Linked DNA regions of Ovis aries. The protein of the gene in region 2 purifies or fractionates together with the protein of the main gene of each other region. This does not show direct contact. Links are inferred from orthologs where the notes say so. Each region holds a gene or a part of one and is shown on either strand. Other genes may lie near its edges.

Region 1 (3,998 bases), on a different chromosome or scaffold from region 2:
AGTGGCACAAATTTATGCCCGAATCTGGCTCTGCCACCTAGCAAATAATTTATATAAATCTCCATGCCCCCCAAATTTTACCTATAAAACGTAAGTAACAATTTGGGAATCGTGAGGATTAAATGAGATGGCGGTGAAACGACCTAGAGGGTCCTCAACATCAGTTTTTGGAATCAATTAATTTATTCCAGGGCTCAAGCGTCTCTCTCCAGCACAAAAACTGCTATTATGCAGTGCAGAGCTCTTGACTAGAAGTTAGTAGACACAGGCTACCACCTGTGGCCATGGGTAAACTGACTCTGATTCTTGGGCTTCACCGATGCAGTGAAGGAGATGAAAGACCAGATGATCTTCGGTTCCCTTCTGGATTAGAAAATGATCTTGAGCCTTGGCTGTCGGAGCCAGACACAGGAAAAAAAGTCACACAACCGTGATCCACCCTCGGAAGAATAAAAGGGGTAAACTCCTGGCCCTGTTCCGATTCTCAATAGCCGCCGACCTGCCTACAGGCAAAATAGGGGATACAACACCACTGGAACACAAGACAGCGCTGTAAACCGACACACACAAGTTCGTTAACTTGCGGTGATAAATTAAAAGGCATAGGCGACATCGTTGCTCGGAGCTATAGTCAGAACGCTAGGCCAAATTACTGCCCAAACTGCACTGGTACCGGAGACCCGGATTGAGAAACTTCCTTCCGCTCCCTAGAACTCCAGGGAGTGGAGACCAGGCGGCCGCGGGCACAGGCGTAGCAGGCGGGAAACTGCGGACCCCGCCGGAGAAAGGGCAGGCGGTAGCCGAGCGCACGCCCCTTCTCACCTTAGGTCTCGTCGGCTGAGTCTCCAGCTGCAGGCAAGGTTCCGGCCCGAATGACAGTACCCGACGGGTACCAAGAGGCGGGGCCTCCCTGGAAAAGACCCCTCGCGGGCCTCACAGGCCTCCCTGCCTGCCCGCCGGCTGCCTGACTGGAAAATACGGAAGGCTGTCCTCTCTGCGCTTTCTTCCTTCCCTGCGGAGGAAGTGTCCTTTTTTTTCGGCTAACGGGGCGTTAGCCGGAGGCGAAGGGCAAGGTTAAGGAGCCGGCGGCACTCGTCATCGGGGTTTCAGTCGCGGGTTTTCAGTCAGGCAGTACGTCGGCCGCCTGGCCAGTGCTAGGCTGCGAGAAGAAAAGTCCTCTACTCGGCTGCCCGCATTTGAAGGGCTTTCCACTTTCGTCCGCTCCCACTCAAGATGGTGGCCTCTCGAGCAATTGGCAGCCTCAGCCGCTTTACTGCCTCCAGGACGCTCCGCTGCTCAGGTGAGGCCTGGTTGAAGGCACCCCACCGCCCTGGGCCAGAGCTCCTGCGGAGACCCGGGAGCCGCGTCTCCCCGTGGCTGCCGCCTCCCTGCCGCGGCCCTGGATGAGGGGGAGTGATGCTGCTATGAGACCCGGTCTCATTCCCTGGCGCAGCGACTGACATTTTCTCTCTCGTTTTGAGTCCTGCAGCGATTTCAGGCTTCGTAACCCCTAACGTCTGTGAGTCTTGTCCACCCGGTCTGGCATTTTCCGTAGGTCTCCTCTTACTTTCTTTAATGATGGCCTTGAACCTGTCCCTACTGGAGGACTAAGAGGACAAGGACAGTCCAATCTGTCACATCTTTGTGCTTCACTGCACCTTGACTGTAACGGGGAGCATCTTATTTACTTCTTGTATGAAATTAACCAGCCTTGCGGATGGCTGCCATTCCCTACGCCTTTCCCTCACAACCTTTTTACCTATTACCACACTAGATGGAGGAACCTGGTAGGCTGCAGTCCATGGGGTCACTAGGAGTCGGACACGACTGAGCGACTTCACTTTCACTTTTCACTTTCCTGCATTGGAGAAGGAAATGGCAACCCACTCCAGTATTCTTGCCTGGAGAATCCCGGGGATAGGGGAGCCTGGTGGACTGCCATCTATGAGGTCGCACAGAGTCGGACACGACTGAAGTGACTTAGCAGTAGCACACTTCAACAGGAAGCTCAACTCTTGCAGCTCCAGTAATTCCAGTGTGAATGTATAATATGTAGAATTTCAAGAGGCAGATTCTGCAACTTTCCAGAAGAAGGACTTAAAAAAAATGCAGATACCTTGTATCTTAAGGAACAAGATGTTAGATAATTTTACCAACTATTTCTACCCTTGTTTCTGACTATACCCAGTTAGCTTGCATTAGCTGTATTGTCTTTTTCTCTTCAAACTGGCAGTGAAACAGTTAAAGTGGGTGCTTGTGGAAAATTAAGCATTTTCCTTCTCTCTCAAATCTGTAAGGTGAAATGTGACTTTTTATCGCATGTTGTACTTAATATCGGTTACTTAACTAGAAATATAATTTATAAAATGCCTTCCTCCTTCTGAATCACTGTATGTTGTTTTTAGAGGCATGCCTTTACTGTAAGGAACTAATTTTGAATGTTTGAACCTTTTCTGCTTTGTTATTTCGACCAGTGTTTTTAGTCTCCACGGGACTGCTCTGTATGTGTGTGCATACCTGTCATAACACTACAGAAAATTGAAATGTTGCAAAGACTGGGGGAAAGGATTAAGCAAAAAATAATCACCCTTTCTCTTACTGCTCACATACCTACTGTTAGTATTTGGTCATGGAGTTTGATTGTTTGATTGTTTTCCACATTTTTGGTTTAACACTTTAAAATTATCAGATGTATATTTTTGAACTTCTCTTTCATTGATTTTAAGGTAATGCAATTAAAATCATTAGTTTTGGAATGTGACTTCTCAGTTTCAATCTGGCTCTGCCTTTTACCCACTGGTGACCTTACCCTTTGGTGACCTTGGGCAAGTCATTTCTATGTCTGTTTTCTCATTTGTGAAATGGGGAATAATACCACCTTGTGAGCTTTAAAGGGCGTATTTTAGGTGTAAAGCAGTTTTTCATGGAGTAAGTGCTATTATTATTAATAAATATTAGCTATTAACTCTTCCCTGCCCTGAAGAACTATGATTTTATATATCTGAGATTTTTTTAAGTAATTTTTACATTTTACATGTGTGATAGTTACAAGCTTAGTTTTTCCGTATTTTTTGTATAGAAATATAGATACACATGTGTATCTATATTTTGCATTCTGTTTTAACCTATAAGAAAATATGGCTGAGGGGAGAGATAAATTGGGGGATTGGTACTGACATACACATGCTACTATATGTAAAACAGATAACTAATAAGAACCTGCTATAAAGCTCAGGGAACTCAGTACTCTGTAGTGACCTATATGGAAATAGAATCTAAAACAGAGTGGATACATGTATGTGTATAACTGATTTACTTTGTTGTACAGCAAAAACTAAGATAATATTGTGTTGATAAATCAACTATACTCTAATAAAAATTAATTTAAATTTTCTTAAAGAAAATATGACTTATTAGTTATTGCCACTCCAGTACTCTTGCCTGGAAAATCCCATGGACAGAGGAGCCTGGTAGGCTGCAGTCCATGGGGTCACACAGTCTGACATGACTGAAGCAACTTAGCAGCAGCAGCAGCCCCTTTTAGTAACAATGTATAAATTTTGAAAAAAAAAAAAAAGGCCTAGAAAGTGAATTTAAAATTACCTGCACCCCTGGATTGCCATTTAGACTGAAAAGACTAACACTAATTAAAAGTCTGTGCCTAGGTAGTGCCAGACTTTTAATGAGACTATGATATTTAATGGTGGATGATTAAAATTCTTCACAGTGATTTGTACTTCTTGAAGTTTTAACCCATTCCTGCATGAGTGCTATAATTCTGAGTATGACTATCAAATGAAGATCACATCTTGATCAAGATATCTTAATTCCCACTTTTATTTTCTGCCCCCCACTCTATTCTAAATCTGAATTCCTAATTACATAAGTAGTAGAATAATTTCTCAGGTAATGAATTGAAGGCAGATATCTTAGCAGATGGTGTATATTTAAATTTGACTCTTACTTACATAATCCTGTCCCTTCACCAGGACCAGATA
Region 2 (3,500 bases):
AGGGCTCCAGAAAGGACTCAAGCACTGGATGAGTAGCTGGACTGGACAGACTGGCAAGGCTCCTTCCAACCTGAAAGGCTGGTAACATTCCAAAGTCTGACAGTCTATGCAGACTTCGGTGAATAAGTGCTTAAAATCAGAATGCCCCTGGTAACCCCACACAGAGCTCAACTTAAGAGCCTCTCAATGTTCGGCTTTAAGAAGAGTCATGAAAGATCTCGTTCTGCTATCAAGGGTTAGCGCAACCAACAAATATTAAAATCATTACTTTTCCCCAAGTAAAGGATAGTTTGGTATACACACCAAATTTTGTTGTATGCTTCTAGGCATTCCGGTTTAACATTGTGAACTGAAACAAAAGAAAATTCAACGATAAACTTATGAACCAAGGGAAAAACGTTAACTATGAAGATAGCAAACCTAGGACTCACACTGTAATTTGTACAGACTGCTGGTTTCCTTTTTGGCTAGGAGGTTAGAGTGAGCATCTTTCCTTGGGTCAACTTTCCGGACAAACAAGGATTTTAACCAGCTGTCCTCTCGAGGTCTGTTATCGGAAGATGTCAATTTCCTACGGGATCACAAATGCAAAAATTTTAGTTTAATCAGAGGTACAAAGATGTCAGGGTCTTTGGGTGGTAGCGCGTGGCCCACTGTTTTCATAAACTCATCAATCCGTTCAGCAAACACTCCTTGGGCACACATTCGAAGCACTATTCTAGAACTTGAGATGTCATGTGTCCACTTTCCAAGCCAACAGTGTGCACTCTGAACGTAGGAGCGAAGTGTGAGAGAAGGAGCTTCGGCAACCTTCGGAGAGTCCTCACGTGCATCTCCGTGAGTCCTGCTGCGTTCTTCCCGTCTCCGAGGAAAAATTTCAACATAGGAGAAACATACACGGAAACCGAGAAGAGTCAAATTCACAGAGAAAGAAAGTACGCCAGTACGTTCCAGGGGCAGAGAAGAGAATGGGGAGATATTATTGATGGGTGAGGAAGATGACAAGGTTCTGCAGGTACACAGTGGGGATGATTATACAACAATGTGAATATACTTCATGCCCCTGAACTGTACTCTTAAAAATGGCAAATGTTTTATGCACTTTACCACAATAAAAAATGTAAAAAGGAATATATGGAGAAAGTGACATGAATTCCTTCCTTAAAAAATTATTTTACCCCTAGAGTCAAGATTTTTAACTCACAAAAACCTAAGAATATAAACCTCATTAACATTTAAATGACCTGCTAATTCTCATCTTGTAACTGAACTTCTACTGTACACACTGTGAGAGCGATGATAAATCTGACTGAACTAACAAGCAACACTTTACCAGTACAATTTTAGCTGAGTGTTTAACTCCCATATGCTTGCTAGTGGGATCACAAATTTGTGTGACTTCCCTAGAGGGCAGTGTGGCATTTATCCACAGCAAAATGCAAACTGCGTAGGCCTTTTGACCTAAGGGCTGCACTTGTAGTTATGTCCGAAGGGCAGCTATATTTAGACGAGTGCACACAGTTGAATGCAGGAGAGCATTCCTTATTGCCTTCCAGTTTGTTCCTGGTAACGGCAATCTGGACTCCATTAATGGGGACTGGGCAGATAAAACAAGGCAGATCCAAAATCAGGACAGAATGCAGTCATTAAAAAGAGGGAGTAGACCTACACGCACTGACATGTTGGTATCTGAGATGAGTTCCTTGAGAAAGCAGGCCCAGAACAGTGCCATAAATACACGCACAAAGTGAAATGCTAACAGTGAGGACATCCGGGCTATGTGACTGGGCTTGGGGTGTGAGGAGTGAGTTTTCCTTTTCACTGTATAACCTTCTGCACTCTGAATTTTCCATATACATATATTATTTTTATACTTAACATTAGCTAAAATACCTAAAAGTGCACGTTTAAAAACTCCTTTATGGGTAAGCTAGATAGCTATATATAACCTGAGAAAAGATTTTAAAAATTAAAGCCTGGTAGGGACTTCCCTTGTGGTCCAGTGGTTAAGACTCTGTTGCACCTCAAATGCAGGGGCTGCAGGTTCAATCCCTGGTCAGGGAACTAAGACCCCACATGTTGCATGGCATGACAAAAAAAAAAAAAAAGAATGAATGAATTACAATTCACACACCACATAGATGATTCTCACAAACATTGAGTGGAAGAGCCAGACACATAAGTTCAAAACCAGACAAAATTAACCTCAGGTGTTAGAAGTCAGGGCAGTGTTACCCTTGACGGAGCTCACTGAAAGGGACACAAGAACGGCTCTGAGGGCTTGTAATGTCCTGTATCTTGATGTGGGTGCTGCTTACACAGTTGTATTTATATTGGAAAAATTCATCAAGCTATAAATCTAGAATTTGTGTACTTTCTAAAATGTATGCTATACTTCAGTAACAATTTTTAAGTTAAAAGGGCTGCTGGGGCTGCTAAGTCACTTCAGTCGTGTCCAACTCTGTGCGACCCCATAGACGGCAGCCCATCACGATCCCCTGTCCCTCGGATTCTCCAGGCAAGAACACTGGAGTTAAAAGGGCAAATATTTTAAGTAAAATAATGCATGTAGGATCTTAGTTCCCTCACCAGGAATTGAACCCGTGCCCCCTGCGCTGGGAGGGGAAGTCTCAACCACTGAGCCAGGGAAGTAGCTCTCTCGTTTATTTTTAAGTACACGTTTAACCCCAAGTAAACACACTTAAAACATGTAGGACAGCACCTGATTAATGGTGAGAGATTTAAAAATTATTTTTAAAACGACTTTAAAAAACTAAAAAAAAAAGTTATATATAAAAACTATTAGATCTTTGAAAGTCGCTCAGTCGTGTGACTCCTTGCAACCCCATGGGCTCCAGCTCGTGGAATTCTCCAGGCCAGAACAGTGCAGTGGGTAGCCTTTCCCTTCTCCAGAGGATCTTTCTAACCCAGGCATCAAACCCAGGTCTCCCGCATTGCGGGTGGATTCTTTACCAGCTGAGCCACAACGGAAGCCCAAGAATACTGGAGTGGGTAGCCTATCCCTTCTCCAGCAGATCTTCCCGACCTAGGAATTGAACCCGGGTCTCCAGCACTGCGGATTCTCAACCAACTGAGCTATCAGGGAAGCCCTTAAGTATTAGCCCTTCAGCAAAAATCAAAATCATACGGTATTCATCTCTGTTTTCAATTCACTCTTTAATTATATAAACTAATTCTGAAGATGGCAATTCTCCTAATGAATCATGGTAAAATTCATTTCAATAAAAATAAAAACATTTTGTCAATTTGTTTCAAGTATTTTCCTTTTTTTTTGGCCCTACCCCATGGCTTGTGGGATCTTAGTTCCCCGACCAGGGACTGAGGCCAGGTCCTCTGCAGTGATAGCGCCAAGTCCTAACCACTATTCTACCAGAGAAGTCCAGTGTTTAAAGTATTTTAAACACACCACATTTTTGGATACTGGGTTAAATAATATCACGAGGCAAAATGGCAAGCATATAAAATTAGTGATATGCAAA

What was found. The genes of interacting proteins can lie anywhere in the genome.
Region 1: the proteins of NIPSNAP2 (region 2) and HADHA purify together in Homo sapiens (affinity purification with mass spectrometry; 3 studies listed by BioGRID and IntAct, with this or other methods). This does not show direct contact. The link is inferred for Ovis aries from reciprocal best matches to the Homo sapiens genes NIPSNAP2 and HADHA.

What each region holds. Positions count from the first base shown.
Region 1 is NC_056056.1:33,460,664-33,464,661, reverse strand, and holds the start of HADHA (trifunctional enzyme subunit alpha, mitochondrial), read left to right. Parts: upstream 1-1,198; 5' UTR 1,199-1,233; coding exon 1,234-1,300; intron 1,301-3,998. UniProt on the Homo sapiens protein: Mitochondrial trifunctional enzyme catalyzes the last three of the four reactions of the mitochondrial beta-oxidation pathway.
Region 2 is NC_056077.1:28,171,912-28,175,411, reverse strand, and holds part of NIPSNAP2 (protein NipSnap homolog 2), read right to left. Parts: intron 572-3,500; coding exon 432-571; intron 350-431; coding exon 304-349; intron 1-303. UniProt on the Homo sapiens protein: Protein involved in mitophagy by facilitating recruitment of the autophagy machinery required for clearance of damaged mitochondria.